Linked DNA regions of Ovis aries. The main gene of each other region encodes a partner of the protein of the gene in region 4 in a complex. Links are inferred from orthologs where the notes say so. Each region holds a gene or a part of one and is shown on either strand. Other genes may lie near its edges. The genes, in order: EDNRB, PTGDR2, MTNR1B, GNAI1, HRH4, NUMA1 and GRM2.

Region 1 (3,959 bases), on a different chromosome or scaffold from region 4:
GGTGACTTTCTATTGCTGATTACGATGGGGATGCAGAGTTTTACATATTTGCATAGTCCTTTAAAATATTCCATCTCTTTCCCTTAGGCTGTTTTCTCAATGCCACAAAATTCCAGTTGGTGGGTTCCCTGGTGGCTCAGATGGTAAAGTGTCTGTCTGCAATGCAGGAGACTTGGGTTTGATCTCTGGGTTGGGAAGATCCCCTGGAGAAGGAAATGGCAACCCACTCCAGTACTCTTGCCTGGAAAATTCCATGGACAGAGGAGCCTTGTAGGCTACAGTCCATGGGGTCACAAAGAGTGGACACGACTGAGCGACTTCACTCAGCAGCTTACTGTAGAGTTAAGGACACTGAGGTCCAGAGATGTTAGGATATGTTCAGAGTTTCAAAGCAAGCGAGAGTCAAATCATGTGGAGGTTTGTGTCCTGCCCTAGCTCTTCATGCCCATTTCCTCTGATGCCAGTGGTAATCACACAATGATGTTAGCTACTGAAACTGTGACAGACTGCCGTTAGGTGTTCTTGGTCTTGTCCGCAAAGTAATTGATTCGGTGCAGTTTGCACTTTGGAACCTGACAGATTGGGCCTGATTTTCCTCAGCTCCATCACTTACTCCTTGTGAGACCTTGAGCATCCTATCATTCATAAAATGGAGTCATATCTACTCATAGGTTGTTAGAAGGAGGAAGGAAAAGTAACACATTTATCCCGGTGCTTGGCCCATCATAGGCATTCAGTAAAGAAAAACCAGATAGGATACAGTCATTCACAGCAGATGAACTGTGTTTTCCCACTCACCTATCTGGGACTTTTTCCCTTAGGTCATTCGTTTTCTAAAAATCTATTCGTTTCCCAAGGTTAGTATGCATAAGAATCACATAGGTATTGTAAGATGCAGGTTCTGATTTAATAAATCTGGGGTAGACATGGAGCTCTAACAAGCTTTCAGGTGATAACAATCTGCCAGTCCATGGTCCATGAATCTCTGAGCAGAGCGAATATACCTTTGTGAGCTGAATTTAGGGACAAGGTCCTTCAAGACCAGTACCTTTCAAACTTTACCTGGGGGGTTTGTTAAAATACATTTCTAACAAGTTCCCAAGTTATATTTAGGCTGCTGGTCTGGGGACTATGCTTTTTCTAGGCTTAGCAGGGGGCTACTGAAACCAGAAGGGTGTTTGGTTCCAATGATTATTGGAAGTGCGGGGCGGGGGGGGGGGGGGGGCGGGAAGCGGGGGTGTAGGGCCGGAGGGTGGAGTTGGGGGAGCCGGGGAGGGGGGATGGCTCTTCTTGAGGAGCCTCCCTGCAAAGACTTTCCCATCTTCCTGGTCCTGAGGGTGCGCCCTCCCATCGCGATCCTGGCAGGCATCCCTTACCTTGTAGGTATTGATGGGGATATCAATGATAATGTGCAGCAGGTCTCCGAGAGCCAGGCTGGCTATCAAGATATTTGGACCGTTTCGCATGCACTTGTTCTTGTAAATGATTCTCAGCAGCGTGGAGTTTCCGATGATGCCCAGCACGAACACTAGGCAGGACACCACCGTGTTGATGTACTTGAAAGTCTCCTTGATCTCTATGGGTCCATCGCACGGGGGTGGGGTGCGCGGTGGGATTCCCACCATCCTTCCCCCTCTAGGAACTTGCGGTGTTGCGGACGATCGCGGCTCGCTGGCGTTGGACCTCCCGGGCCAGGAGGTCTCAGTCGGGGTCTCCATCATCTCTCTGGTCCCCAGAAGTGGCTGAGTGGCCCCGGCTGGCGGGAATTCCCTCTCTTCTGCTTGGATCCCTGCCACGCCGCAGGCAAGGATCAGCGCCACCAGGGCGCGTCCGCACAAGCTGGGCAGCGGCTGCATGCTGCTGCCTGCTCCAGAGGGAGTCGGGTGGCCGCTCCTCAGCTTTCCGAGTCTAGAGACTAGCAAGGGAAGGAAGACAGGACACCCGGGTCAGCGTCCCCAGCCACGCCCCTGCAAGCAGCTGTCCCGGAGCGCAGCAGCGCCCGCACTCTCAGCGCGCGAAAGTATTAATAAGTCGAGCTGGCGCTGCAGTGGGGAACTCTGGCGCGTGGGACTCGCCTGCGCCCTAAACGGTCCCTCCAGAGCCAGCTTTCGCTGGTTTTTCCTCCCCTGCGTCCCCTGAGGGGTAAATGACTCGCAGTGGGGCGGGGTATCCTGGAAGGGGTGTGACGGGGAGGAAAGGATGGGTGTCCAATGCAAAGCTTTGAGCTCCTGGTGTGCGCAGAGGGAGGAGTATTCGTTCCGGCCAACGGCGCGCGGGTACAGGGGAAATCAAGGCACCTAGCGATCAAGGGCATCGCCAGTCTCTGCATTTGACTCCCCAGCAACCCCGGATGCCGCGTGTCTGGACTCCCAGACCCCTCCCTTCCCGGCTGCCTGTGGTCTGTCTCCTTCGGCACCGCTCCCACCCCCCATACACACCCCAGGACTGCCCCGGCTGATTAAGAAAATCTCCCTGACATCTCCACTTGGTCTGATTGGAAGAGTCTCTATCTGCATTAACTCGGAAGTTTCTATCCCCTCCGAGTGACTTCAAACGCTCAAGCCCTCCTTCACTCCAATCCCATTTTAATCTGTTGCAGCTACAGGTTTTAAACACACACACACACACACACACACACACACACACACACACACACACACTAAGAAGTAATCCAAACTGAAGCCCCAGGATAAGGTTCAATCACAGATTTGATTTAAACACCAAGCAGAACGGTTACCTCTTGGTCCGGACGCGCCAGGCAGGGACCTCCTTTCCCCGGCGCGCGGCTGGGTTCCCGGCTGCCCGGGAGCAGAGCGCGCCTCCCTTCAGCAGCGGGAGGGTCTGGCTCTGACGAAACGCCGAGGGAATGCCTGACCGTGTAGCCTCTGCAGTTTGCTCGGGATCCTTGCTGTCCCAAGACAAGTACTTTTATTCATTCGTCCGTTCCCCATCAATCACCACCAGACTCCTTCCGTCCCTAGCGACCGCGCAGCAACCTTTCCCCTGGGGCGACGCCTGGACAGCATCAGTCGGACCTGGCCGCTGCCATACTGGGCAGTCCTCGGACAGAGATGCGTCCTGAAAGGCTGCGGATGTATCATGGCTCAAAGCGCTTCAGATGACGAGCCTCGGCCAAGGCCAAGTTTTGACACAACTCCTGGCCCTCGAGGCTGGAGACTAGAACCTGGCTCTGAATTAAATGTGTTTAATGCCCGCTTCCTAGGTGGTGCTAGTGGTAAGGAACCCACCTGCCAATGCAGGAGACAAGAGACTAGGGTTGCATCCCTGGGTCGGGAAGATTCCCTGGAGGAGGATGTGGTAACTCACCCCAGTATTCTTGCCTGGAGAAGGCCCATGGACAGAGGAGCCTGTCGGGCTACAGTCCATAGGGTGGCCCAGAGTCTGAAATGACTGAGCATAGGCACACGCAACGTCTGCTAAGACTCCCCTGCCCCAAAAGTTAAACGTCCCACGGTGATACCTAAACTTCGATTAGTTGGGGGTGTCTGGTGCTCTTGGCTTAAACAAAAACTATTTATTTTGTTGTTGTTGTTGTTGTTGTTGTTTTGAGTTTTCTTTTTCTTTCCTTGATTTTTGGAGGCTAATTACTTTACAATATTGTATTGGTTTTGCCATACATCAACATAAATCCGCCGTGGGTGTACACGTGTTCCCCATCCTGAACCCCCCTTCCACCACCCTCCCTGTACCATCCCTCTGGGTCATCCCAGGGCACCAGCCCCAACCATCCTGTATCCTGTATTGAACCTGGACTGGCGATTTGTTTCTTATATGATATTATGCATGTTTCAATGCCATTCTCCCAAATCATCCCACCCTCTCCCTCTCCCAGAGTCCAAAAGACTGTTCTATATATCTGTGTCTCTTTTGTTCTCTCACATCCAGGGTTATCATTACCGTCTTTCTAAATTCCATATATATGTGTTAGTATACTGATT
Region 2 (3,960 bases), on a different chromosome or scaffold from region 4:
AGCCGCTGGCAAACATGTTGAGGAAGAAGATGGAGGAGTGTAGCTTGCAGAAGGTGGTGCCCAGCTTCCAGGAGTGGCCCACGGCCAGGAAGTAGGTGAAGAAGGGCAGGGAGGCGGTAGCCAGCAGGTCGGACAGGGCCAGGTGCAGCACCCAGGTGGTGACCACGGTCTGTCGCATGCGGCGCCCTACCACGAAGAGAATGAGTCCGTTCTCCACCAGGCCCAGCAGCGAGGCCAGCCCGTGCAGCAGCACCGAAGCATGGTCCATGTAGCGGATGCTGGAATTGCTGTGGCTTTGGAGGCGGCTCATCTGCTCCAGGAGGGGACAGAGTGGCTTCGTCGTGACATTGGCCAACATGATGGGCTCTGCGGCAGAGAGGAAGAGGCGCTGTGGGGGGGAGGGGGGCAGTTCTGGGCAACAGGAGACCCTGGCCAGAATAGGGGACTGTGTCTAGGTTATAGGGTTGTTGGGAGAATTAAATGAATTAATAAATATACAAACATTTCAGGGGCTGCACTGGTGGCTCAGTGGTAAAGAACCCACCTACCATTGGGAGACATGGTTTCAGTCCCTGGGGTGGGAAGATTCCCTGGAGAAGGAAATGGCAACCCACTTCAGTATTCTTGCCTGGGAAATCCCATGCACAGAGGAGCCTGGTTCCTCCATGGGGTTGCAAAAGAGTTGGACACGACTTAGCGACTAAACTACAGCAACAACCATTATAGGCATTTCAAACAAGAGTAAGCACAAAGTAAGCACTATATCAATGGCATGATTAAGTAGATAGCCTAAGATCAATTGGAGAAATAGGTACCAAGGTCAGGCCAGGCGGGACTCCCTTTTCCCAATCCCTAGAGCACTGGGGCGTGAGTTAGGCTCCCCTAAAGGGCAGGAGGATTCAACTGGGCTGGGGGACGGGAAGGGAAGGAGTCTGTGCCTTTAAGGGGTGCCTTCCCTCCACCCACCCCCAGCACCCCCCAGACCTTGCCTCCCTGCCGATCTTCCTGCAGCCCTTCACTGCTACAGTGGTGGCTGGTTGGGTGTGTGGCTGCAAACAGTGGAAGCACCCCCCCCCCGCCCCCCGCCTTGATAGTTGAAGAGGAAATAAGATAAGAGCAGGGAGAGAGCTGGGCAGGAGGAACTACCAGATTTGGGCTCTGGAGGCCCAGTAGGGCCAAAAGACCTCTCCCCTGCCCAGGGGTGGCTACAGGCACTCTGCCAGTTCCAGGAAACCCAGCCTGATTCATTCATTTATTCACTCACTCACACACTCATTCAACAGCTCTTTATTGATCAACTACTTAGGTAAGTGCTGGAGAAGCCAGGCTCTGGCCAGATGTGCAGACATCCCCGAAGTGCAGACCCACAGCCTCATCAAGAATCCAGGACCACCCAAAGTGGAGCCAGTGGAGATCAGTGAGGGCAGAGAGGTTGGGGTGGGAGGCTACCTGCAGGAAGTCAGCAGGGTAGCAGGGGGCGGGAACTTGGATCGACCTGGGCCCCCACAACATGCTAGGAGCCATGGTAGGTCCTTTATGTAGGTGTTCTCCTGCTCACGGCTCTAGAAGAAAGGGGCTGGTACTTCTCTCCACCCCATTTTGCAGATGAGGAAACTGAGACTCAAGTGTTTCCATCACTTTCCCAAAATTTCCTGAATAACACAAGCAGGTGGAGAAACAAGAGTTTAGCACTCAATCTGTTCCCTTTCCTCTGCCTCTGAGCTCTAAGCATGAGGTGATGGAGGGAAAGAAGGAAAAGCAAGGCAGGGTCAGGGGGAGTGATCTTCACTATCCATCTTTCCACAGGAGACACTTTTGGCCAGGATGAGAAAATCTACACCCTTCTTTGGGGACCACGGTCCTTCATAGGATGAGGGCCCAGGATATCAAACTAGAATTTCCTTGACAGGTGAGGCACTTGGAGCTCGGGACCTGCAGGTATGGAGGAGGGAAGCTGTTGTCCCCGTGTGCTCCCTAGAACGCTAGAATTTCCCAAGTTCTAGAGTCTGCAGAGCAATTACACTCACAATGACCCTGTGCGACCCCATTTTTCAGAAGAGGAAACAGAGGTTCAGAGGAGCACAAGATCTTACCCAGTGTCCCTCAGCTGCTGGGGAAGGGGGGCTGCAGGAACTCCACTCTCAGCAAACACACACATGCCAGCCCCTCCCTGTGCTGAAACGTTCCCTTTAGCCCCATCTAAGTCCCCCGAGGATGCTGCGAAAGCATGTCCTGCTGTGCCCTGGGGTCTGAGCCAGAATGGACCTTCTGGCTGACAAGAGTCTGGCCCCCAGCCTCCCAGGATTCTCAGGAAGCCCAGCAGCAAGGGTCCTGTTTTGACAGAGGGCTGGGGGCAGAGAACACTAGGTTTTTGGTGTCAGAGACCTGGCTTTAAATCCCAGCTCCTTGACTTCCTGGCTGGGTGAATTTGGGGTCCATTACCATAGGACCCACTCTTGGAACCCTTCTACCCAGATGACTCCTGAGTCTTGAAAAAGAGCTTTAATGGTCTATCACTGTGACTGCTGTCTAGTAATTACCTAAGGAACTGTGGTCCTTCCCTCCTCAGAGCAGTAAGTCCCCTCCAGTCTTCGGTAAACCCTACTCTCTGCCATCCTAGCTAGTAACAGTCCTCTCCCCTGATAAAACTATGCCCTCTCTCCTAGGTCCAGAGAAGGCACTGAAGCTGCCCAGCCCCAGGGCCACCGTCTCCTTACCTGGCATAGAGAGCACACAGGATTCCAGCCCCAGTGGCAGTCAGCTCCTCGAGGCAGACAGGAGGCAGCGGGCAGGCAGAGAGAGGGGAGGGAGGCTGAGGGAGGAAATAGCTGTTAGCCCCAGAGTCAGTGCGTGTATATTTAGGGGAGGGGTGCGGGGGGGGGGGGGGGGGGGGACAGCTAGAGAGTGAGCTATTACACTGGTGTTCAAGTAACATCCATCTCCACTGATGGGGACTGGATGTAACTGCCAGCAGCCCAGCTCATCCTGTCTCTCTTTACAAAGGCGATTTTGCAAAAGCCCAGGGTCAAGTGTAAGTGCACATGGAAAAATAGGTGTAGGGCAGAAAGTGTGAGCCCATGTTCATTTTGAGAGTGGCAGGTGTTTAGGAGAAGTGCTTGAGGAGAAGGGTGTCCTGTCCATCTGTCCTATCCTGGACTGCCCTCCCTGGTGGGGTCCCCTGACCCCATCACCCTCAGGATAGAAACTCATGTGGCTCCTGCCTTGTGCGCAGGCAGCACAGGGGCCAGGGGTAGGGGTGGTCTGTGCAATGGCCCTGAGGGCTCTATGGCCAGGAAGGCAGGGTGGGGCTGTGGTAAGAGCGCGGGTCTGGCTGTCCAGGCTGCCCGCAGTCCTAGCCGGGAGGTAAGCCACTTCCCCTTCCTGCCCCTGCTTGTCCATCTGTGACCAAGAGCGACAGTGTCACCTCCAAGGCTGACCAGGCGCCCTCATTCACAACGGACCCAGCACACAGTAGGTGCTCATAAAAATCAGGTTTCTTCCCTCTGGGAGAAAAATGGGTATAGACTGTTGGGCAAGGGCAATACAGCTTTTATTTCAAATGGACTGGGAATTCCCTACTGGTCCAGTTCTCACTGCCAAGGGCCCAGATTTAATCCCTGGTCAGGAAACTAAAAACCCCACAAGCCATGCGGGGGAGGCCAAAATAATAATAAAAAGGTCTGGGCTCGGACCCCATGGATGAAATGATTGATCTCCTTTTGCTAACCAAGCTTCCTGAGGTCAGGACTCTTCCTCCAACCTCAGCATCTAGCACCCAGGAAATACCCAAAACACATTAAGAACTCGGAAACCCACCCCCCGCTACAGGATTGACTCTAAAACACTTCCATTTTTGGTACAGGCTTAATGTAGGGCCTGGCACTTGATAAATTTGCTGAGAGACTGCAGTTCCTGAGTGAGGAATGTGATGGGGAAGCTTGCTCACTCTCGTCCAAGATG
Region 3 (4,007 bases), on a different chromosome or scaffold from region 4:
CACGCACAGATATGGTATTAAATTCTTTTTTCTGGTGCTGGGCTGTAGCAGATTCGCCAAGACACAGGGAGGATGAACGCAGGGAGTGCTAGTGTTTTTAACACGCTCATTACCTACCCCAGCCATACTCTCAAAGCAATAAGGTCTCTGTGAACTTCACTAGGAGAGAAGAAGAGGCCAGCTTGCCTGCGGATGGAGGAGGGGAGAAGAAGCTTGCCTCCTTCAGGCAAAGGAAACAGCACCCGGCCCCAGCCACCTCGCCCAACGGAGGAAGCCCACAAAGGCTCCTCTAAACACCTGGTTAATCTGGGAGAGAAGCCCTGCTTCCCTGGGCAGGAAATGAATCCTTGTGGCTGCTACAAAAGACAATATGATCAAAATGATTTTAACCGGCTCTTTCCTAGAAGATAAGCCTCTATTCCAAGGACACAACAATATCTTGAAAAAGTTATTGCAGATAATAAAAGTCACCACCACTGAAATGACTGAGTTAGAAAGTTTAACTTTTCCTTTCCTTCCAGTTTAACTGACATGTAATTGAGACCCAGCACGGTATATTTAAGGAGCAAAGCAAGATGATTTGATTTACATACACCATGAAAAGATTACCACAATAAGTTTAGTGAACATCCATCATCTCAAACAGATGCAAAAAGAAACAGAAAAAAAATGTCCTTGTGATGAGAACTCTTAGGATTTACTCTCAACAACTGTCATGTGACATACAGCAGAGTTATATTTACCATGCGCATCCCAACTACTTATTTATCTTAGAAGTGGTCGTCTGTGCCTTTAGATTGCCTTAATCCAGTTTCCTCTGCCCTCAACTCTTGCCTCTGGCTCTACAAATCTGACCTCTTTTTCTGAGTTTGTTTTTGAAGTATAACTAACCTATAACAATATGTTAGTTCCTAGGGCACAACACAGGGATTCAATACTTCTATACATTTCAAAATGATCCCTATAAATAGTTACCATCTGTCACCATACAATTACTTCAAATGTGGTTTCCAATATTACAGATAGAAGCCCACATTTTTGTTTGTTCTTTTAGATAAAAAAGCTTGGGAGTCACTGGGTCACATAAAGTGTTTATAACAATGTACTAGAAATAGCCTTTCTGAATGGTCTGCCTCCTTAGAAAAGCATGAATAAGTTATCTGATTGGTTTTCTGCTATCTTTTCATTTTAATTCACTCTAACATTTGAGTTGCCCCTAAGGCCCAAACAGGGAAACGACAAATGGACAAACGGGTCACTGAGCTTCTCCAAAAGCTAGATGGTCAGCATGCTCCGATGACCCTCGGGGTCAGAGTTCAGAGACTCCCTCCCTCTGGTTTTGTTCCCTGGCACACCTACACATGAGAAAGTTGAAACGAGTGTATCGAAAGGGAGAAATAGGATTGCAACACTATTTTGCCAAATTATTATTTTAATCTTCGTTTAGTCCTACGAATTCCCTGTCTTCATTAAACACGGGGTTATTTGAAAACAATGCAATTCCCACCAAGTAGAGGCTGCCGACGGCTGCCTTTGCAATCTTGTTTGGAACCAAGATGAGGAGCTAAGTATCGGACCAAATCTCTCTAGAGCGTTTCCACTAATTTACTCATTGTCTCAGTAAATATTTTCCAAGCACGTGCTGCGTGAACCACTGTGCTTGGCAGGGGAGGGAGGTGTTGAAGACGAGATTCCTGTGGCCACGGAGGGGCACCATCCAAATCTGCAAAAATTGGAGCGCCTTGGACAGCTTTGACTTTCAGACGCTCCTATTTTCACAGCTCCCTGCTCTGCCAAGAAGCGCGCGAAAAAAACTTTATCCGATTTACGCCCGCACTGATGCGCCAAGTGCTTCCCGGAGCGTTTCCAAGAGCCACACGTTGGGGAAAGGCAGCAAACTCAACCTAAGTTTGGGTTCAAGACCAAACCTGGGGGACTTGTTGAGAGAAGGGAAGGCGGCGCGGGGAGCGGAGGACAGACCGGGCGGCCGACTGCGCGGTGAGTGTTAGACCAGAGACGCGGCCCCCGGGAGCGGCCGACGCGGCGGCGGGCGCAGCGCTCACCTGCGTTCCGGAGCTTGCGGTTGCCCAGCACCGAGAGGATGACCAGGAGGTTGCCCACGATGTCCACGGCGGTGGTGACGACGAGCACCGCGGACAGCGCGGGAGCCACCCAGGGAGGCCGGGGCGCCGCGGAGGGCCGCGCGCCGCCCGCGCCAGTCCAGCGGGGGCTCTCGGCCCGGCCGCCCGCCTCGCAGCAGTTGGCGAAGGAGCCGTTCTCAGGCATCCCGGACGCTCCGGCGCCGCGCCAGCCAGGGCGCACCCAGTCTCTCCGCAGGCGGGGCGCCCCTTTCCCCGCCCAGCCCCGCGCACCAGCGAGGAGGCCAGTGCCGAGGCACCTGGACGAGATGATTAATTAAGCGTGGGCAGGGGGCGGAGAAAAACGGAGAGGAGCATTTGGGGTGCAGGCGCTGCTGAAAGAAGCGCGTCTCCGCTTGGCTCGCCCAGGAGCAGGTGCGACGGCGCGCCGCCCGGAGCCCAGCACGTGCCTGGCCCGGTTCCGGCCTCAGCGCCTGAGCGCGCCGCACAAGAAGCTGGGTGTCCAGGGACACCCAGATTCTCGGACTGGAAAAGGTGCTGCTCGTCAGGACCTGCTGATTGGCTGTCAGAAGGGCACTGCCCCTCTAAAGCGAATACATACCTCCAGGCATCGCGGAGAGATCAGGCAGGCAGCAGCAGGAGAAGGAAGACCCTGCGCTGTTTATTTGCTGTTTACCTGAGAAGTCTTGGCGATGCCTCAGCCCTGTCCTCTTTATAAAACCGCGACAATACTTACGAACATCTTTTTAAACATAATAGTACTTAAAAAGATGCATGGTCAATAGTGGGGGTTATTATAAGGTGTTTTTTGAAGGGATTAGACCACAAAGAGGAGTGCAGTATGGTTATAGGAAAGAAGAAACGCAGATGCCCTTTATTTAAAGTGTGTGAGCACTTAATCTTATAATAACAATTGCTCGTCCCTCTCCAGGGTAATTTTATGCCAAGTACTGTCTTACCCACTTTTTGCATCACTAGAATCAAAATGGCTGATAATCTATTTGGCAAAGAAGTAAAGGACCTGCTTTGATGAGAATGAAAAATGGTACAGTCACTGCTATTTGGTAGTTTCTTATACAATTAAACATATTCCACTTTTTGACCTGCAGTGAAATGAAGATGAAACATATGTGCACAAAAAAATTTGTGCAAGAATTGTCCAGAGCAGGGTTAGTTATAGTAGCCTAGACAGCCCAAAGGTCCCTCAAGAGAGGAATGGATAAAACAATTGTTAATTGTCAATATGACTCATCAGTAAAAGTTACAGATACACAACAACATGGGTTAATCTAAACAGTATTATGTCGAGCAAAAGAAGCAAGATATAAAAGCCTACATTCTTCATTATTCCGATTGTATGATGTCCAAAAACAGGGAAATTCATCTATGGTGATAGTTATCAGAACAGTGGTTGCCCAATGCGAGGTGAAGATTGACTGGAACAGATCATGGAATAAATTTCTGGGATGTTATTGGTATGTGTTATTAATGTACATTTTACTCTCCCACTCTGCACACACACAAAAAAAAACAGAAACAAAAGAACCGAGAGAGGAACTCTAACGGTGTGATGTTGCAGGAGAAGATTATAGTTAAAGCAATAAATGCCTTGAGAGGTGAGCGCATCTGAGCCCAAGGAAGGCAGATCATTGTTAGGAGAGAGAGGCTTTCCCCCCTACAGGGGAAATGAAGCATAAGCCAGTGCAAATTTGGATGTGTTTCTAAATCGGCAGGAGATGGGGGAGTTCCTCTCTGGCTACCATCTTCTCAGGGAGCTCCGGGCTACCTCATTAGCTGGGATTCAGGGGGAAAGAGTGTGGGAGACGAAGACAGGAGGCCTGAAATGTCATTGCAGAAAACAGGAACTTTAAGAAAACGCAGCAGGTGTATCAGGAGACGGAAACGACC
Region 4 (4,000 bases):
TTTTAAACAAAGTTTTTATTTTTATTTTTAGAAAATAAGACTTATAAATGGTTGCTCTTTGGTTTCTGTTAGAGCAATTACCTAATATAACACATCAAAGAAGACGTTTTTCTTTGCTACCAACCCAGTCTTATAATCAACCAACATTTCCTGTGATATCTGTAAGGAAAAGTGCAACTGACAGAGACCAGATCTTAAGCCTATGCTCATTGATGACACGCTGGGTGAGATGCCTCCAACGCCCACAGAAGTGATTTCTCCCAGACCAGGTAAAGCTGGAAGGATGGAGGCTAGTGTGGATCAGTTCCATCTCATTTTATGGTTCAGGAAGCCAAAGCCTGCAATAAAGAATGACATGCCCAGTGGCTTCTGATTTACTAACATGGTCATGAATATTGGTGCAGAACTTGGCTTGGAAGCTTCTATGTCGCCCCAGAGGAGGTCAGTTACGGTGAGGAGGGGTTTTGTTTGTGTGGGTGTGTTGGCTCTTATTTTAAAAATATACTCTTTGATTCTTTGTCTCATATTTTCTCAGGTTTGAGGAAATCCTTCAAAATGTTTTCTGCCTGTGGAAAGGAACGTGAAAATGGATGGTAGGAGGGAGGAGAGAAGGAAAAAAAAAAAAAGGAAGAAAGTTGACCTCTTGTCCTCCCGGGACTTTCTGTTCCCCACTTCACCTGCTCGGCTTTCTCCATGGCTCCATTCCCAAACCAGCTCGCTCTATCTCCCACCGCCATGAAGGCCCGCTAACACGGGTTTGCATTTTGAAAACCCTCGCGCGCCCGCCCGAGCTGGGCATGCTCAAACGCCCAGGACTGGTTTTTTTTCGGTTTCCAACTTTGGCAGCTCTCCCACCCGCACCCCAAGGGGCAGGTCCGCACACATCCCTGGGTGTGAGTAAATGGGAAGAAATTATCACACTCTCGAGGAGGAAGCCAGGTAGAGGAATTCCCCGAGAGGTTTGGGGCTCCTTGGCCGCTTCCCAGGGGCGCTTCCCACGGGCGCGCGCGGGTGGCCGGCCCTCGCGGGCTGTGCGGCGCCAGGGTCCGCGGCAGCGCGGGTGCGCGCGCCCATCCGAGGGGGCGAGGTCCGAGGGCTCGTGCGCGGGCGCGCGCTCTGGGAGTGGTCGCGGGGCGGCGGGCGGGGCGGCAGGGGCGGGGACGCGGCGGCGCGCGGACGCCTCGGCGAGCTGGGCTTCTTAGAGGCTGCAGCGCGGCCACCAGTAGGAGGCCGCTGGCAGCTGCTCCGAGAGCCTAGGAACCTGGTCTTAGGGGGCGCCTAGGGAGGCGAGGAGTAGAGCCTGACTGTAGAAAAGAGCTGCGCGGTGCTGCTCGCCCTTCGGCAGAGAGCGCTGCCCTCGCTCAGTTTCGGAAGGAGGTAGGGGTGGCGTGGCCGGCGTCAGGAGGAATTCGAACGCCTGCATCCAGAAAGAAAGAATTCACCTGTGTTTCGAGGCAGCGCGCCGGACTTGGAGGGAGCGGCAGCCAGCTTTCGCTCCTGGCACAATGGGCTGTACGCTGAGCGCCGAGGACAAGGCAGCGGTGGAGCGGAGTAAGATGATCGACCGGAACCTCCGGGAGGATGGCGAGAAGGCGGCGCGCGAGGTCAAGCTGCTGCTGCTCGGTAAGGGCGGCCGGGCCGGGTTGGGCGCCTGGTGGGCCTGGAACCCGGGGTTCGGGCGGCAGAGCCGGGCGCGGCTGTGCTGGGCTCTTTGGCGTTGGGAAACCCGGAGGGGACGTGCCAAAGCGGCGGAGGGCGCATCGTGTAGCGTCCGAGGATGGTTTCGGAGCGCGAGCTTGTGCCGCGCAGAGCTGAGGCGGGGGCCCCTCTCCTCGGTCTTCTTCTCTTTGCTCCCTTGGCCGCGGAGAACTCGCCGGTGGCGCGGCAAGACTTCACTCGCGTGCCTGGTGTGAAATTTCACCAGGAGCCCAGGAGCGGTTCGCAAGGAAGCCCCCTTCTTTTAAGTTAGCTCAGCTTTATCAAAATGAAAGGGCATTGGCGAAAAAGAAAGAAGAGCACCCCCCGCACTAAAACCCTGCGTACAAGGCATCGTATCGCGGTTGTGGTTTCCTCGAGGATGTCAAGAGTGCCACGTTTTGTGAAATCAGTGCACCTTTTGTGGGGCCTCCCTAGGGTTGAATTGTGTCTTTCTGGTGAACTTCCTATGGCGACTCAGTAAGTGTTAAAGGAGCACTGATTACATTTACCTTGCGTAGGGGAAGTAGGCTATGCTGGATTTTTAAAAATAACTGTGGGGATATGAGAACCACCAAAGTTGGGTAACTGGCTTCAGTAAAACCGATGTGAAAGGTGTGAATGGGTCACACGGGACAACAGGATTCTCCTCTGCTGCCAGGGCTTCTGATGAATGAGATTTGCCAGGTCGACGCAAGGCTTTTATTTGTTCTTAGTATTGTTCTGGTGGTAAAACGCTCTGCGGAGGTCTTTTCCAGCTGTTTGAAGGAAGGGAACGTGAAAAGAGTAATCCAGGATTTTGATTGAGGGATACATTTGGAAAATATTCACAGTTTAAGATTTTTGATGTGTGAGTTAGGATTTTCTTTTGTTTGCCCCGCCCCCCCACCCCCCGCAAACACACCACACCACCCTACCTATAGGTAGCAAAGTAGGTGAAAGATTTCTCAGAATCTTTGTTTGCACTGCAGCGACTGCTTTTGTTTTTGTAACAGTTATAATAAAATAAATACTATTGCACAAGCCTATTTTCAGTAAGCTTCTGTTTCATTGGTTTAATGAGTGCAGGAAAAATGGTGGGTTTTTTTCTCCATTACTAGTAGGCTTAGAAGCTGCAAACTTGGCATGACTAAAAGTAATAATGATCTGAGTCATTCTACAAGTAAACTGTGAAATAACTTTGCATTTTAGAGACCTGGTGGTTTTTCCACACCTCCCCCTACCCAAAGTAAATCTTTCTCAGTTTATACTGTTTACCTAAGTTTTTACATTAATAAGAAATAGTCTTTTGAGGAAGGCAATATATTTTTAGTATCTTGAACACAGAAGGGACATACCTTGGTATGGGAACATATAGGTGCTCCTCTTTCAAATGGAATGTGCTTCAGACAAAAATGGAGAAAGGATTGAAAAGTTCTCTTCAGCAGTTTGTGCACTCCTGCTCTGATGTATTATTTCAGTGTATTGTGTGACGCTCATTTTGAGCCAGCTATCCACCATGTTTGTTTAAAGCCTTGAAAAATGAGTCCTCTGGTATGGTAATATGCTTTACATAGATGTCTATTAGAAATAGACAAGGATAAGGGTCCAAGGAGTTGGTGTTTGCTTATATTCAGAAGAGATCAGTATTTCTCAAACTTAGCACTACTGGCATTTTGGATGGAATATCTCTTTGTTGTGAAAGCTGTGTTGTGCCTTATAGGAAGCTTAGCAGAATCTTTGGCCTCCAACTAATGTCTCAAACATGCCCTAGGGGCAAGTTTAATCTCAGCTGAGACTAGCTCTTCTAGACTGAAAAATATATACTGAATATGTAGGGTAGAACCTGAGTTTGGATCTCTACCATGAACTGTAGTGAGAACTCTGAGGGAGGTGTAGCAGAGCTACGATTTTCAGAAGAAATTAAGGAGTTTTGTTTCTCCATACCAAGTACATTAGAAGGCTTTCAAAATGACTTAAAATCTTTAGGTAGCTGATTTTTTTCAGCTCTCTTTTTTAGCTTTAGTCTTGTGCTGTTCCCACACCTTTTCTCTGTAGAAGTCCCATCATAGCATCATATTATTGGCCCAGTGAATTAGGCCTTACAAAACAGAGGACCTCCTCGTCTGTCTTACTCCCATCCTACCCTCTACCCTTTTGCCCAGAGTTCCAACATTCTAGTTCCTTTAAACAGAATGTTGGCTTATTCTTGGAATGTTTGAAAAAATATTTCTTTTTCCTAGTTTGACTTTAGCAGTGAAGTGTTGACCTTTGGTTCTTTGGGGGATTTTTTTTTTTAGTTCTTAGTGTGTAAAGAGCTCAATTA
Region 5 (2,364 bases), on a different chromosome or scaffold from region 4:
TAAGATTTTAGAATCTATCAAAGGTCCTGGGATCTGAGAGCAATCCTCCCCCACAGAATCTCATCTTTCCTGATAGAAGCCTGTCCCTGTGCTCAAGTGGGCTTAGAGTATTCTTCACTCCTAAAAAAGACCGTGGCACTCACCACAGCCACATCTCCCCAAGTGGCTGGCCACCATTGCTTCAGTACCATTTTTGCTGGGTGGATACGTTTGTAGAAATAAATGCTAGGTTTTGCTCGTAACACTGTAGTCTCTTCCTACAGCTGATTTAACTCTCTTTCTTTTTGTGCATCATCTTGTGGGAGGAATGTAAGAGTTCTGTCCTTTTTGACCCCACCTGGAAGGCTCAGCATAAACTGCAGGATAGGTTCTGTCTTTCAAACTTTTTTTACTGTGATTTCAGTGATAAATGCATTTTACACTGTGATTTGGTATGCACATTTCTCTCTCTCTTATGTATATCTATTAATGTTTTCCCAAAGCAAGAGTTTCATCAAACAATACATAGCCTTATGATGTGTGAGGCATTCTGACATTGATTATCCCAATTTGTTAAAAATGCTGCTCACGACCCAGCTGGCAGGTTAAAAGCACTGTGAACGTGTTCACTCAAGTTTCAGTTAACAGTTCAGATTAGTGTCTGTGGACTAGGAAAAATTGTGTTCTTCTTTTAGATATTAACCTTGACATTTTCCGTAGTGTCAGATGTTTAACCTTAAACTGTAAGAAAGCCTACATCTAGGCCCAGGGTTCACCAAAACCAAACCCTCTGCCCCGGCCCAATCACATTACCCAGATTCAGTGACCAGCTCCACTGTGCACATCACGGAAACTCCAGAGGGCTGACGGTATGCTTTGTGCAATCAACATGTGCTCATTGTATTAAAAATAATTTATTTGGTTTCTTTTAGGTGTCTTACAGAGCTCAACATACTGGGACCTTGAAGACTGTGACTCTGATGGTGGCCGTCTGGGTGGCGGCCTTCTTAGTGCATGGGCCAATACTAGTTTCAGAGACTAGGAAGGAATTGGGGGCGGATTGCAAACCTGAATTCCTTGAAAAATGGCATATCCTTGCCCTCACGTTACTCTTCGAATTCGTGATCCCAGTCTTGCTAGTGGCTTATTTCAACATGTATATTTACTGGAGCCTATGGAAGCGCAGTCATCTCAGTAGGGGGCTTTCTGGATTCATTTCTGCCCCTTCCAGTAGCAGTGGACGCTCATTCAGGAATGGACTGTTTTCGAGGCCATCTCTTTCCAACCTGGAGGAATCAGCAGCATCCCTTCGTTCTGAGAAGTCAGGAAGAAAGAGCAGCCTCTTGTCTTCCTTAAGACCCCAGATGAATAGTTTAACCGCTTCCAAAACGAGCTCTCTCTCCCATTCAGATTCCCTAGCTCTTCACCAAAGGGAACATCTTGAGCTGCGCAGAGGCAAGAAACTAGCCAAGTCACTGGCCATTCTCTTGGGTGTTTTTGCTGTTTGCTGGGCTCCCTACTCTCTGTTCACAATTATTCGTTCATGTCATGGCACACACTCAGATCTCTCAAACGCTGTGTACGAGTTCACATTTTGGCTTCAGTGGTTCAATTCCTTTGTCAATCCTTTTTTGTATCCCTTGTGTCACAAGAGTTTTCAGAAGGCCTTCTTGAAATTATTTCGGGTGAAAAAGCAGTCCATACTATCACATAATCGGTCAACATCTTCTTGAAGATAATCGTTTTGCTTATGTAAATTTCAGTCTTGCTCTCACTTAAATGAGTCTGGCTTTCATTGTGCCCTTTCCACTCTACTGAAAAAGTCCATAAAAATGTAACACTTGAAACACTGAACAAACAAATAAAAAACCCCTGGAACCTATAAGTCAGTGGAAAATTATTCTGGTGAATAACAACATTATTAGAAACTGACAAGAATATTTCTGTAAACTCAGAGCCACAAAAGCACTATATTTTTCTTAGTCATCACCTCTTCTTTGTCTTTTAGATCTTAAGATAACTTTGATTGTGAAATTCAAAAATTTTGGTTTTCTTTCTAGATGTTCAGTGTTGCCACAGTCTTAAGTGAATTTCCATTTTCATTTTACAGTGATGAAAACTCATCACGTTTTAAGATCATTCTCTAAAGCATACAAAAGGAAAACGAGCTCTTTAGCCCTTTTTCCTGGGGGTGGGTAACGCTGTTATGGTCACTGGGCAGGAGAATTAGGGTTTGAGTGAGGGTGAGGAGGTGAGGATGCTCAGATGAAAGAGCAGAGGGCATGTATACTTCCAGACTCTGCATTCCTGATCCGAGAAAAGAAGAAAGTGTGGGATGATGGGGGAAAGAGGAGGTCACTGCAGCTCTTGAAGGTTCTCAATGAA
Region 6 (4,282 bases), on a different chromosome or scaffold from region 4:
AGGCATTCTACAAATTTGATGCAATCTCTATCAAAATACCAAGGTAATTTTTCATAGAACTAAGACAAATACTGTAATTCTAAAATTTGTATGGAAACACAAAAGACCTTGAATAGCCAAAACAATCCTGAAGAACAAAACTGTCCTCACGCACTGTTGAGGGGAATGTATATTGGTGCAGCCGCTATGGAAGATAGTATGGAAGTTCTTAAAAAAGTTAAAAATAGAACTATTATATGATCCAGCAATTCCACTCCTGGGTGTATATCCAAAGAAAATGAAAACACTAATTGGAAAAGATATATATGAACATCCCTATGTTCACTGCAGCATTACTGACAACAGCCAAGATATAGAAGCAACCTAAATGCACATGGGTAGATGAATGGATAAAGAAGGTGTGGCATATACTCTAATGGAATATTACTCTGCCACACAACAGAATGAAACTGCCATTTGTGACAACATGGATGGTGAGTACATGTGATAACATGTACTAGGTGAGTGAAATAAGTTAGACATAGAGAGACAAATATTGTACAATTTCACTTACACATGGAATCTAAAAATCAAATAAAAAAACCTAACAAAACAGGAAGACTCACAGATACAGAGAAAAAACAGGTGGCTGCTGAGGGAGCAGGATGAGGGGATTAAAAAAATAGGTGAGGAAGACTGAGAGGTGCAAACTGCCAGTAACAAAATAAGTGAGTCACAGGTTATGAACCGTACACTGTGGGGAAAAGAGTCTCTAATGTAGCATCTTTGTATGGTGACAGATGGAACAACATTTTTTTTAAATAAAGAGATAATGACTGGGAATCTTTAGAAAACTGAAAGGTATGAAACCCCAGATTGAGGCATCACTCTAAGCCCAAGTAGAACAAAATTAAATCCACACATGTAATGAAAGTGCAAAACACAAATGACAAAAAAAGAGGATCTTAAAAACAACCAGAGAAAAAGGCAGGTTACATACAACGAAATAATAGTTATATTGTGGACACAGTTCTCAAGAGTTAACAACAAAAAGCCATAATTTCAGTAAAATGATACTTTCAAAGTGCTGGGGGTAAAACAACTGGAAGCCTAGTATACCCAGCTAAACTATCAATCAAGATTGATAAGGAAGTAAAGATATTTTCCAACAGAGTATTTACCATTAACAGACTCTCACTAAGAGAACATCTGAAGGGGGAATTCTGTGGCAGTCCAGAATTAGGGCACCATACTTCCATTGCAGGGAGCATGGGTTTGATCCCTGGTGGGAGAACTAAGATCTGACATGCTGCATAATATGGTCCAAAAAAAAAAAAAAATCAGAAGTATGTATTCCTCTATTTGATGAAAAAGAAGGAATAAAATGCAAGAAAGGATGGAAAAAACAGTAAACATATATGGGTAAAATGAAATAACCACTGAAAGCACAAAACTATGCTACTTATTAGAATTGTTCTAACATTTGGGGATGGTCTCATTCTTGGAAATGCTCATTTTGAGTCTGTTTAATGTACACTGTGCTGAAATAAATGGCCTCCAACATACCTACTGACCGTAGGGTTTTATCAATTAGACAAAGCTGCCAAAACATTTCCTGATCAGCTCTGTTTAGCCATCTGTGGCAGGGCTTTCCCTCATCCTAACAGTTCTAGAACTCGAGTCTCAGTTCAAGGCATTCTTTCCACTTCCATATTCCACAAATTTAAAAAAAAAGAACATTCTAAATAGAAATGTCCCTTATATGAGCTTTTGGTTAAGATCTTCTAGTTTGGGGGAGTATAATTTTTGGCTATGGATTTAGGATTCAGGCTTTATAATTAGTCATCATTTGCTTGAACTTGGGCCAAGAAGAGAGTACTTTGGCAGCTTTCACAAAGAAGTATGCGCTTCTTCCTCTGAAGGAGAAAATACCACACAGGATCAGAAGGGAGAGAACACATTCAACCCTGCAGGCTGAAGGCTGCCTTACCTGATCTGAACATTCCCTCTAGCTTCCCATATATTCACAGCAGTCACATCACTTATACTCAAAAATGTGTACTCGCCAAGATGCTTGCAAGAAACAGCTCACCTGATTTGACCCTCATAACGGCAGGAAAGTAGATAAGGCAGGTAAATTCATTGTTTATATATGAAAAAAGTGAGACTCAAAAGAAACTGACTCGCCGCAGACGACCCGCACGGCCAACACAATCCCTCCCCTTCACTTAGACCCAACCCACAAAAAAACCCAGTATAGCCAACCAAGCACGAGCTATGTAACCGAGGCCAAGCTGAACATAAACCTCAGGCGGCCCATCTGTAATAAACTATAAAAAAGCTGTTAGGAATATTAAAAAGATGATCCATATAAAGGGTGTGGCACGGTGTCTGAAACGTAGCTGGTCCTCAGAAAATGTTTATTATTACTACTACCACTATTGTTAACAATAATAGGCGAAGACTTCTCACTACAGGAACCCTCGGCGACACGCCTTTCAGGAACCTGCGTTACCCACACCCGCCTCGCCCCCCGACACAATTCCACCGACACGCCCCCAAACAGACCCTCCCCCTAAGCACGCCCCGCACCTCCCTCTCGGACAAGGCCCTTTCCTCACAAACCTTACCCTCGAAAGACTCTCCCCAGTCAGCCTCGCCTATGAAGGAGGCCTTCCGCCCGCACCCGCCTCTTCAGCACCTCTTTTAGACTCGGGCATCCCTGCAGGCGCCCCAGCCGCACGCTAGTAGCGGGCCCGCGCCATTACCTGGCCGCGCGCTCCCGCTCCGACTCTCACTTCCCCAGGATCGCCTTCTTCTCGGGCCCGCGCCAGCGCTATGAGCGCACAATTAGTTTAAACTATGGCCCCGCCCCCTCGCGTCGCCCTGCGATTGGCCCCTGTCGGCTGGCGTCGCACGCAGAAGCAGCCTGAAGGACCCGGGGAAAGGAAGTGTGAGGGCCACTGGAAAGGGGAAAAGGGTGCCACAACTTCCGGACCCTGGCCCGGCGGCCTGAGTGCAAAGACAACTACAAGTCCCAGCACCACCCGCGGCTTTGGAGCGCTTCTCTTGAGGAACTAAAGTTCCCAGTAGGCATCGCGGCAGCGCCTACGGCTCTTAGAGGGGACGTGGTGACGTAAATAGTTACCATGGAGTTGCGCTGAGTAACCGTGAGGTAGTGGACTCGGAGGCTGGAGGGGAAGCAACTGCGGGTGAGTTGGGCGGGAAAACAGGAAGCCTGCTCTAGGGTACAAGAACTCTATGAGAGGGGAGGGGCACACTGTTAAGAGCTTTCTTTCTTGGGAACCTGAGATCTCCCCACCCCCTTTGCCGCTAACTCCTTTTCACAGTCAACAAGACACAAACCCTTGTGGGATAGATGGGCGAGGGGAGGGAAGGGAATTCTGAGAAATATACCCAGACAGATATGGGGGCCTTAAGAACCTCCCCCGTCACAAAGATAGGATCCCTCCCCTAGTACTACTGTCTCAAATCCCTGACATATCCTGGGAGATCTGAAACGCCGTCAAACGTGGAGTTGGTTTTCCTCTGGTCGACTAACTCTTCAAAACCTGGGAGTAGGATTAGAGTAAATCACAGTCCCTAATTCTGGAGATGTAGGAAACTTTCTGGGGCTTGAACTGCCCCTTTCCTTCCAAGCAGGAAGACCCCAGGGTAGAGCCTCCTTTTCAGAGAGTCAGCAGGATCTTCCCTCACATATTTATTAGGGGTTCTATCCTTAAATTATATTTTATCCCTACACTACTCTGTGGTCTGCTTCTCCAAGTTCTGCAGTTAAAGCTTCATTCCTTTTAACAGTATTCATGACAGGTTTCTTATATTTAGCGACTTACCTAGTGTTTTCACATCCAAGTCTTTTTTTGAGCTTAGTGAGTCCAAGGATATTTATTCCCATATCACAGATTGGAAAACTGAAACCTATAGAGGAGTAGTGACTTGCCGGAGGCCACACACCAAGTCAGTAACAACTAGGACTAGACCCCAGTTTGCTGTCAGCCAAGCTTGAGCCTACAGCCTCTCTAGCTTAAGGACTTATTCAAAGTAGTTTAACTGCCCTGGGGCAAAAGACCCTTTTATAGCCTACATTGGGATATTGACATTTCACCCTGAATGAGTTTCAAATCTTTCCTTGAAAGTTTAAATGGGGAGAGGGAACTAGAGAGACTGAAGGCAATGGAAATTAAACAGATTTAACTAAACAAGAAGTAAACAATCTAACACGACACCTGTGTCTGGTCCTGCCATGATTAGCTAGCTTCGGGTTGACTCCTAACTGACCCTA
Region 7 (3,500 bases), on a different chromosome or scaffold from region 4:
GCTGAGAAGGCAGGGACCCCATCATTCCAGGTCCCAGTGACTAATGGCGTTCAAGTTAGCAGATGATATGCTTAAGATCCCATGGTGAATGGTGCAGCCTGGAGTCAAATGCAGGTCCCCCACGGCCTCTACTCTTTCTACCCAGTCCTTGAAGTCCTCAAAATCCAACATGAGCCCTACTATAAATTCCACTTAGCCCAGAGGGCTAAATTTAGCCTTGTTCTAATGTCAACCCAATCAGACCCAAATGCAACACTAACCCCCAGCCTGACTCTCCCATAACTCTGAATGTCAATCTTATAGGAATTGCTACTCTTCTTGATCCTGATCCAGAGCTCCAAGCTTTGTCAGCCCTGGCACCCTCTCTCGCTGTTCCTGCAGTCATTCTTTCTGAAGCACAGTGATGACCCTGTGGCATTTATTTTTCTTGAAGCTGGAACTTTTATTAAGGTAACTTTTGGTTTGAAGAGACCATGGCCACCTCGAGTGGAAAAGCAAGATTAGGAATAGAAATTTTCCTGGAAAATAGAGGGTCATCCTGATGTACCTTTATTCTCACGCTCTCTGATATCCTGCTGCCTGACAATGGGCTTGAGGTCTCCTGATCCTACTCCCTGCATGATAAAGAGGCAGGAGATAGAAGGCAAGGCCCAAGCAGGAAGCAGAGACCCTCACAGTGCAGAGCCAGGCCAGGTGTCTACTCTCTGGAAGAATCTCAGGAAGTGGCACCTCAGGTCTGGATCCTGTTGGAGTCCTCCCTGCCTGGCTGGCCTTGTCCCAACTCTGACACCAGCCCTTTGGGTAAGTCCCTGACTTGCGGTGGGCTGTATTTTCCTAGCCATGTGCTAGAACCTGAGGGCCTGCTCCCTTTCACCCTCCGAGAGCCAGCAGCCTGGTGGACCTGGCCGGCACCATTACCATCAAACTTGACGTTGAGCACGAAGTCTTTGTAGAGGCGGCGCCCGTTGACGGGCCGCATTGCATCACAGAGGCGGGTGGTGTTGGGGCAGAGGGCACGATGCATGTTGTGCAGGGCGTGGGCCATGGCGTACACAGCATTGACCACAAACATGATCTTGGACTCTTGCTCAAAGGGCACGGCCCGCAGGGAGTGAGCCGCACAGTCTTGCTGCCGGAAGCTGCAGTGGAACCTCTGCTCCCAAAATTCACGGAACCAGGGGTTCCGGCTGTTGTTCCATGGGTCCAGGCTCTGGAAGTAGGAGGCAAAGTCACTGATGGGGTAGGAAGCCAGCTCTATGGTGATGGCGCCTTCAGCAGCACCCTCACTGCCTGCCACCACGCTCTCCAGGGCCCCCCAGCCATCGCTGGCAACCCAGGTGAAGCTGGCATTGAGGCGCTGGCTGGCAGCAAGGAGCTCGCGGGCGTCCTCGGAGCGGGTGAACAGGACAGCCACACGGGCACTGGGCTTCTGCAGCAGGGCTCGCACCACGCCCTCGAAGGCCGCGCGGCTCATGGCGCGGCCCACCTTCTCCGAGGTGGCGACGCAGATGTTGCGGGCGCGGGCCTCTAGCTCAAAGGCTTCGATGCCTGTCTCGCCATAGTCACCCTCGGATGCCACGGTGGATACGTAGGTCCAGTTGAAGAAGCGGAGAATCTCAGCCATGGCTTTGGCTTGGAAGAAGTCGGGGGGCACCGTGCGGGCAAAGTAGTCATAGCGGGACTTATCACTCAGCTTGGCACTGGTGGAGGCATAGCTGATCTGAGGGATCTGAAATAGCCGCAGGAGGTTGGCCACCTGCAGTGGGGTGGGCGGGGTGGGGGGAGTGGTTGAGAGGGCAAAGATAGAGACAAAGTCAAATGCTAGAGACGGCTGTGCCCCTCAACCCAGCTATCAGACTTTGGGATCAAGTGCCCATGTGGTCATCTATGTCATGATGTCATGATGTCTCCCTCTCTCCAAAGACCTACATTGTTTTGATGTGTCTTCCCCCTGGGGGCAGCAAGTTTTCTGTCCCTTCCTAAGGGCTCAGAAAGACGTAGGGCCAAGGCACCGTGGTCCTGAGCCACACTTGAACCCCTCCCCTGTCTCCCTTCAGATGCACAGCTGTAGCAAAAGGAGAGAGCTAAGGAAAAACCTAAGTCCTGAGTGGAGATAGGTTATCCGTTGGCTGCACAGGGAGGAGGCACTGGATGGCCTCTGGGATGCTTAGGGGTCTTAAGCTCTCTATCCCAGAGTCAATGCTGATGGGATGATGGAAAGAGAAGGAAAAGGCTCCCCAAAGAAGGAAGACTAAGATTTGAGAGCCCAAGAGTGGGTCTCTATTGGATGCCTGAGCCAGAAATTAACAAGGCTTCCTGCCTACCTGGCAGCCAGTCTCTCACCCCCAGATCCCTGGGATGTGCCCCTAAGAGTGAGGTCCAGCCAAGAACCTGGTGGCATGGTGGGTGAGAGCAGGGCATGGCCCAGGTTCCACAAGAGGGAGTCAGGTCCTGTGTTTGCAGCTGGGACATAGACATTTACTCGGGCAGTGTCAGCGCCTTCCCTCTACTGTCTGACTCTGCGCCCCTGGGCAAGTTAGGAAATTCCCTGAACCTCAGTTTCTCATTCCTGCCTTCCAAGGTTGCTGAGCTGATTAAGAATATTGATGTACATGAAGCCACAGTGCCTGGAAGATGATAGGGATTTCGGCGAGAGAGAAGGGCTAGTAATGTGGACGAACCATTGCAGAGAGGTGCAGCTGCAGGATAAAGGACTGAGCCTTGTTTTGACCCAGACAAGGAAAAAGCAGATGGACGCTGAGCTGTGGGTCCTGCTGCGGGAGTCAGGCAGCTTGGGGTGAGGCAGAGGTAACTGGGCTCCTGGAGGTAAATACAAGGGGCCCTGAAAAGAATTGTGCACAGGGGGTGCTGGGAAAGCACCCCAGAGGCCCCTGAAGACATCAGCAGTGGGAGGCTGCCTCCCCATCCCTGCCCCTAGCTCAGACTACAGATGGAGGTGCTGGTGCAGCCACGCCTGTCCAAGCTACCACTGGCTACATCCAGCAGCAGGCCCAGCAGAACCGGTAATTCATTCCCTGCATTAGGGGTATGAGCAGGCCTCCCTCCCCACCCCAGGCCAGAAGCTGCCTCCCTGGTTCAGACTCCTGCTTCCTCTCTCCTAAATAAGCATTCTGGGTCAGGGGTCCCGGCCTGGCTTCTGATGGCAATGTCCTCTGCTGGCATCCTCGAGGCAGCTGAGGCCCCTAGACGAGGCCCTCCTTGCGACTCCCAACACCAATCTCAGCTCTGGCCTCATCTTCCAGCAGCCTAGGCTGGCACTAGACAGGTAAGGGTCCAGGCAAGAGGTGGAACCCAGTCAAGGACAAGGAGGATCCCCCTGGGCCGCAGCAGCCAGGTGCGCCAAAGGCCATCAGTTGTGCCTTCTGCTGACCCCTTGTGGGAAGAACAGGAGGGAGGGCCTGGGTCCCTCCCCCTCACCTGGTCATCCTGCACTTACTGCAGATCCTGGGGTGCCCTCCTCCTCACTTGCACACACATCC

The links.
Region 1: the proteins of GNAI1 (region 4) and EDNRB are in contact, whole or in part, in a cryo-EM structure (PDB 8XWP), measured with the Homo sapiens proteins. The link is inferred for Ovis aries from reciprocal best matches to the Homo sapiens genes GNAI1 and EDNRB. Residues at the interface, in NP_002060.4 of Homo sapiens: Ala31, Arg32, Glu33, Lys192, Asp193, Leu194, Glu318, Tyr320, Phe336, Thr340, Asp341, Ile343, Ile344, Lys345, Asn346, Asn347, Leu348, Asp350, Cys351, Gly352, Leu353, Phe354; in NP_000106.1 of Homo sapiens: Asn134, Pro136, Ile140, Asp198, Arg199, Ala202, Val203, Trp206, Ser207, Arg208, Ile209, Lys210, Ile212, Met296, Met300, His314, Gln317, Arg318, Val321, Thr324, Val325, Leu386, Val389, Ser390, Lys391, Phe393.
Region 2: the proteins of GNAI1 (region 4) and PTGDR2 are in contact, whole or in part, in a cryo-EM structure (PDB 8XXV), measured with the Homo sapiens proteins. The link is inferred for Ovis aries from reciprocal best matches to the Homo sapiens genes GNAI1 and PTGDR2. Residues at the interface, in NP_002060.4 of Homo sapiens: Glu28, Ala31, Arg32, Glu33, Val34, Lys192, Asp193, Leu194, Glu318, Tyr320, Phe336, Asp337, Thr340, Asp341, Ile343, Ile344, Lys345, Asn347, Leu348, Lys349, Asp350, Cys351, Gly352, Leu353, Phe354; in NP_004769.2 of Homo sapiens: Arg129, Gln132, Val133, Pro136, Val137, Gln140, Asn141, His142, Arg143, Thr144, Val145, Leu233, Arg236, Arg238, Arg239, Pro241, Arg243, Phe244, Leu247, Thr307, Cys308, Pro309, Asp310.
Region 3: the proteins of GNAI1 (region 4) and MTNR1B are in contact, whole or in part, in a cryo-EM structure (PDB 7VH0), measured with the Homo sapiens proteins. The link is inferred for Ovis aries from reciprocal best matches to the Homo sapiens genes GNAI1 and MTNR1B. Residues at the interface, in NP_002060.4 of Homo sapiens: Arg24, Arg32, Glu318, Ile319, Tyr320, Phe334, Asp337, Ala338, Asp341, Ile344, Lys345, Asn347, Leu348, Lys349, Asp350, Cys351, Gly352, Leu353, Phe354; in NP_005950.1 of Homo sapiens: Arg138, Tyr141, Ile142, His149, Arg150, Arg154, Ile223, Val227, Ala230, Arg231, Lys233, Ala234, Lys235, Thr252, Met253, Asn312, Asn314.
Region 5: the proteins of GNAI1 (region 4) and HRH4 are in contact, whole or in part, in a cryo-EM structure (PDB 9LRE), measured with the Homo sapiens proteins. The link is inferred for Ovis aries from reciprocal best matches to the Homo sapiens genes GNAI1 and HRH4. Residues at the interface, in NP_002060.4 of Homo sapiens: Ala31, Arg32, Glu33, Lys192, Asp193, Leu194, Thr219, Glu308, Asn311, Lys314, Asp315, Lys317, Glu318, Ile319, Phe336, Thr340, Asp341, Ile343, Ile344, Lys345, Asn347, Leu348, Lys349, Asp350, Cys351, Gly352, Leu353, Phe354; in NP_067637.2 of Homo sapiens: Arg112, Ser115, Val116, Ala119, Val120, Arg123, Thr124, Gln125, His126, Ile197, Ser200, Leu201, Arg204, Asp205, Arg290, Val293, Glu294, Arg297, Arg300, Leu301, Ser304, Leu305, Leu308, Cys361, His362, Lys363, Arg364.
Region 6: GNAI1 (region 4) and NUMA1 share a complex: the UniProt entries of both Homo sapiens proteins name them as parts of the spindle orientation complex. The link is inferred for Ovis aries from reciprocal best matches to the Homo sapiens genes GNAI1 and NUMA1.
Region 7: the proteins of GNAI1 (region 4) and GRM2 are in contact, whole or in part, in a cryo-EM structure (PDB 8JD5), measured with the Homo sapiens proteins. The link is inferred for Ovis aries from reciprocal best matches to the Homo sapiens genes GNAI1 and GRM2. Residues at the interface, in NP_002060.4 of Homo sapiens: Glu28, Ala31, Arg32, Glu33, Val34, Asp193, Leu194, Thr219, Asp337, Asp341, Ile343, Ile344, Lys345, Asn346, Asn347, Leu348, Asp350, Cys351, Gly352, Leu353, Phe354; in NP_000830.2 of Homo sapiens: Lys599, Ala600, Ser601, Gly602, Arg603, Arg656, Ile657, Ile660, Phe661, Ala664, Arg665, Glu666, Gly667, Ala668, Gln669, Arg670, Pro671, Ile674, Pro676, Phe756, Val826, His828, Arg829, Ala830, Pro831, Thr832.

What each region holds. Positions count from the first base shown.
Region 1 is NC_056063.1:53,649,446-53,653,404, forward strand, and holds the start of EDNRB (endothelin receptor type B), read right to left. Parts: upstream 2,801-3,959; 5' UTR 2,738-2,800; intron 1,916-2,737; exon of another isoform or gene 1,909-1,915; 5' UTR 1,857-1,908; coding exon 1,377-1,856; intron 1-1,376. UniProt on the Homo sapiens protein: Non-specific receptor for endothelin 1, 2, and 3. Mediates its action by association with G proteins that activate a phosphatidylinositol-calcium second messenger system.
Region 2 is NC_056074.1:34,560,082-34,564,041, forward strand, and holds the start of PTGDR2 (prostaglandin D2 receptor 2), read right to left. Parts: upstream 2,801-3,960; 5' UTR 2,725-2,800; coding exon 2,718-2,724; intron 1,653-2,717; exon of another isoform or gene 1,450-1,652; intron 1,061-1,449; exon of another isoform or gene 985-1,060; intron 389-984; exon of another isoform or gene 367-388; coding exon 1-366.
Region 3 is NC_056074.1:1,500,641-1,504,647, forward strand, and holds the start of MTNR1B (melatonin receptor type 1B), read right to left. Parts: upstream 2,801-4,007; 5' UTR 2,287-2,800; coding exon 2,064-2,286; intron 1-2,063.
Region 4 is NC_056057.1:42,546,185-42,550,184, reverse strand, and holds the start of GNAI1 (guanine nucleotide-binding protein G(i) subunit alpha-1), read left to right. Parts: upstream 1-1,200; 5' UTR 1,201-1,505; coding exon 1,506-1,623; intron 1,624-4,000. UniProt on the Homo sapiens protein: Guanine nucleotide-binding proteins (G proteins) function as transducers downstream of G protein-coupled receptors (GPCRs) in numerous signaling cascades.
Region 5 is NC_056076.1:32,579,282-32,581,645, reverse strand, and holds the end of HRH4 (histamine H4 receptor), read left to right. Parts: intron 1-911; coding exon 912-1,712; 3' UTR 1,713-1,864; downstream 1,865-2,364. UniProt on the Homo sapiens protein: The H4 subclass of histamine receptors could mediate the histamine signals in peripheral tissues. Displays a significant level of constitutive activity (spontaneous activity in the absence of agonist).
Region 6 is NC_056068.1:50,438,040-50,442,321, forward strand, and holds the start of NUMA1 (nuclear mitotic apparatus protein 1), read right to left. Parts: upstream 2,801-4,282; 5' UTR 2,605-2,800; exon of another isoform or gene 1-2,604. UniProt on the Homo sapiens protein: Microtubule (MT)-binding protein that plays a role in the formation and maintenance of the spindle poles and the alignement and the segregation of chromosomes during mitotic cell division.
Region 7 is NC_056072.1:49,193,141-49,196,640, forward strand, and holds part of GRM2 (metabotropic glutamate receptor 2), read right to left. Parts: intron 1,757-3,500; coding exon 919-1,756; intron 1-918. UniProt on the Homo sapiens protein: Dimeric G protein-coupled receptor which is activated by the excitatory neurotransmitter L-glutamate. Plays critical roles in modulating synaptic transmission and neuronal excitability.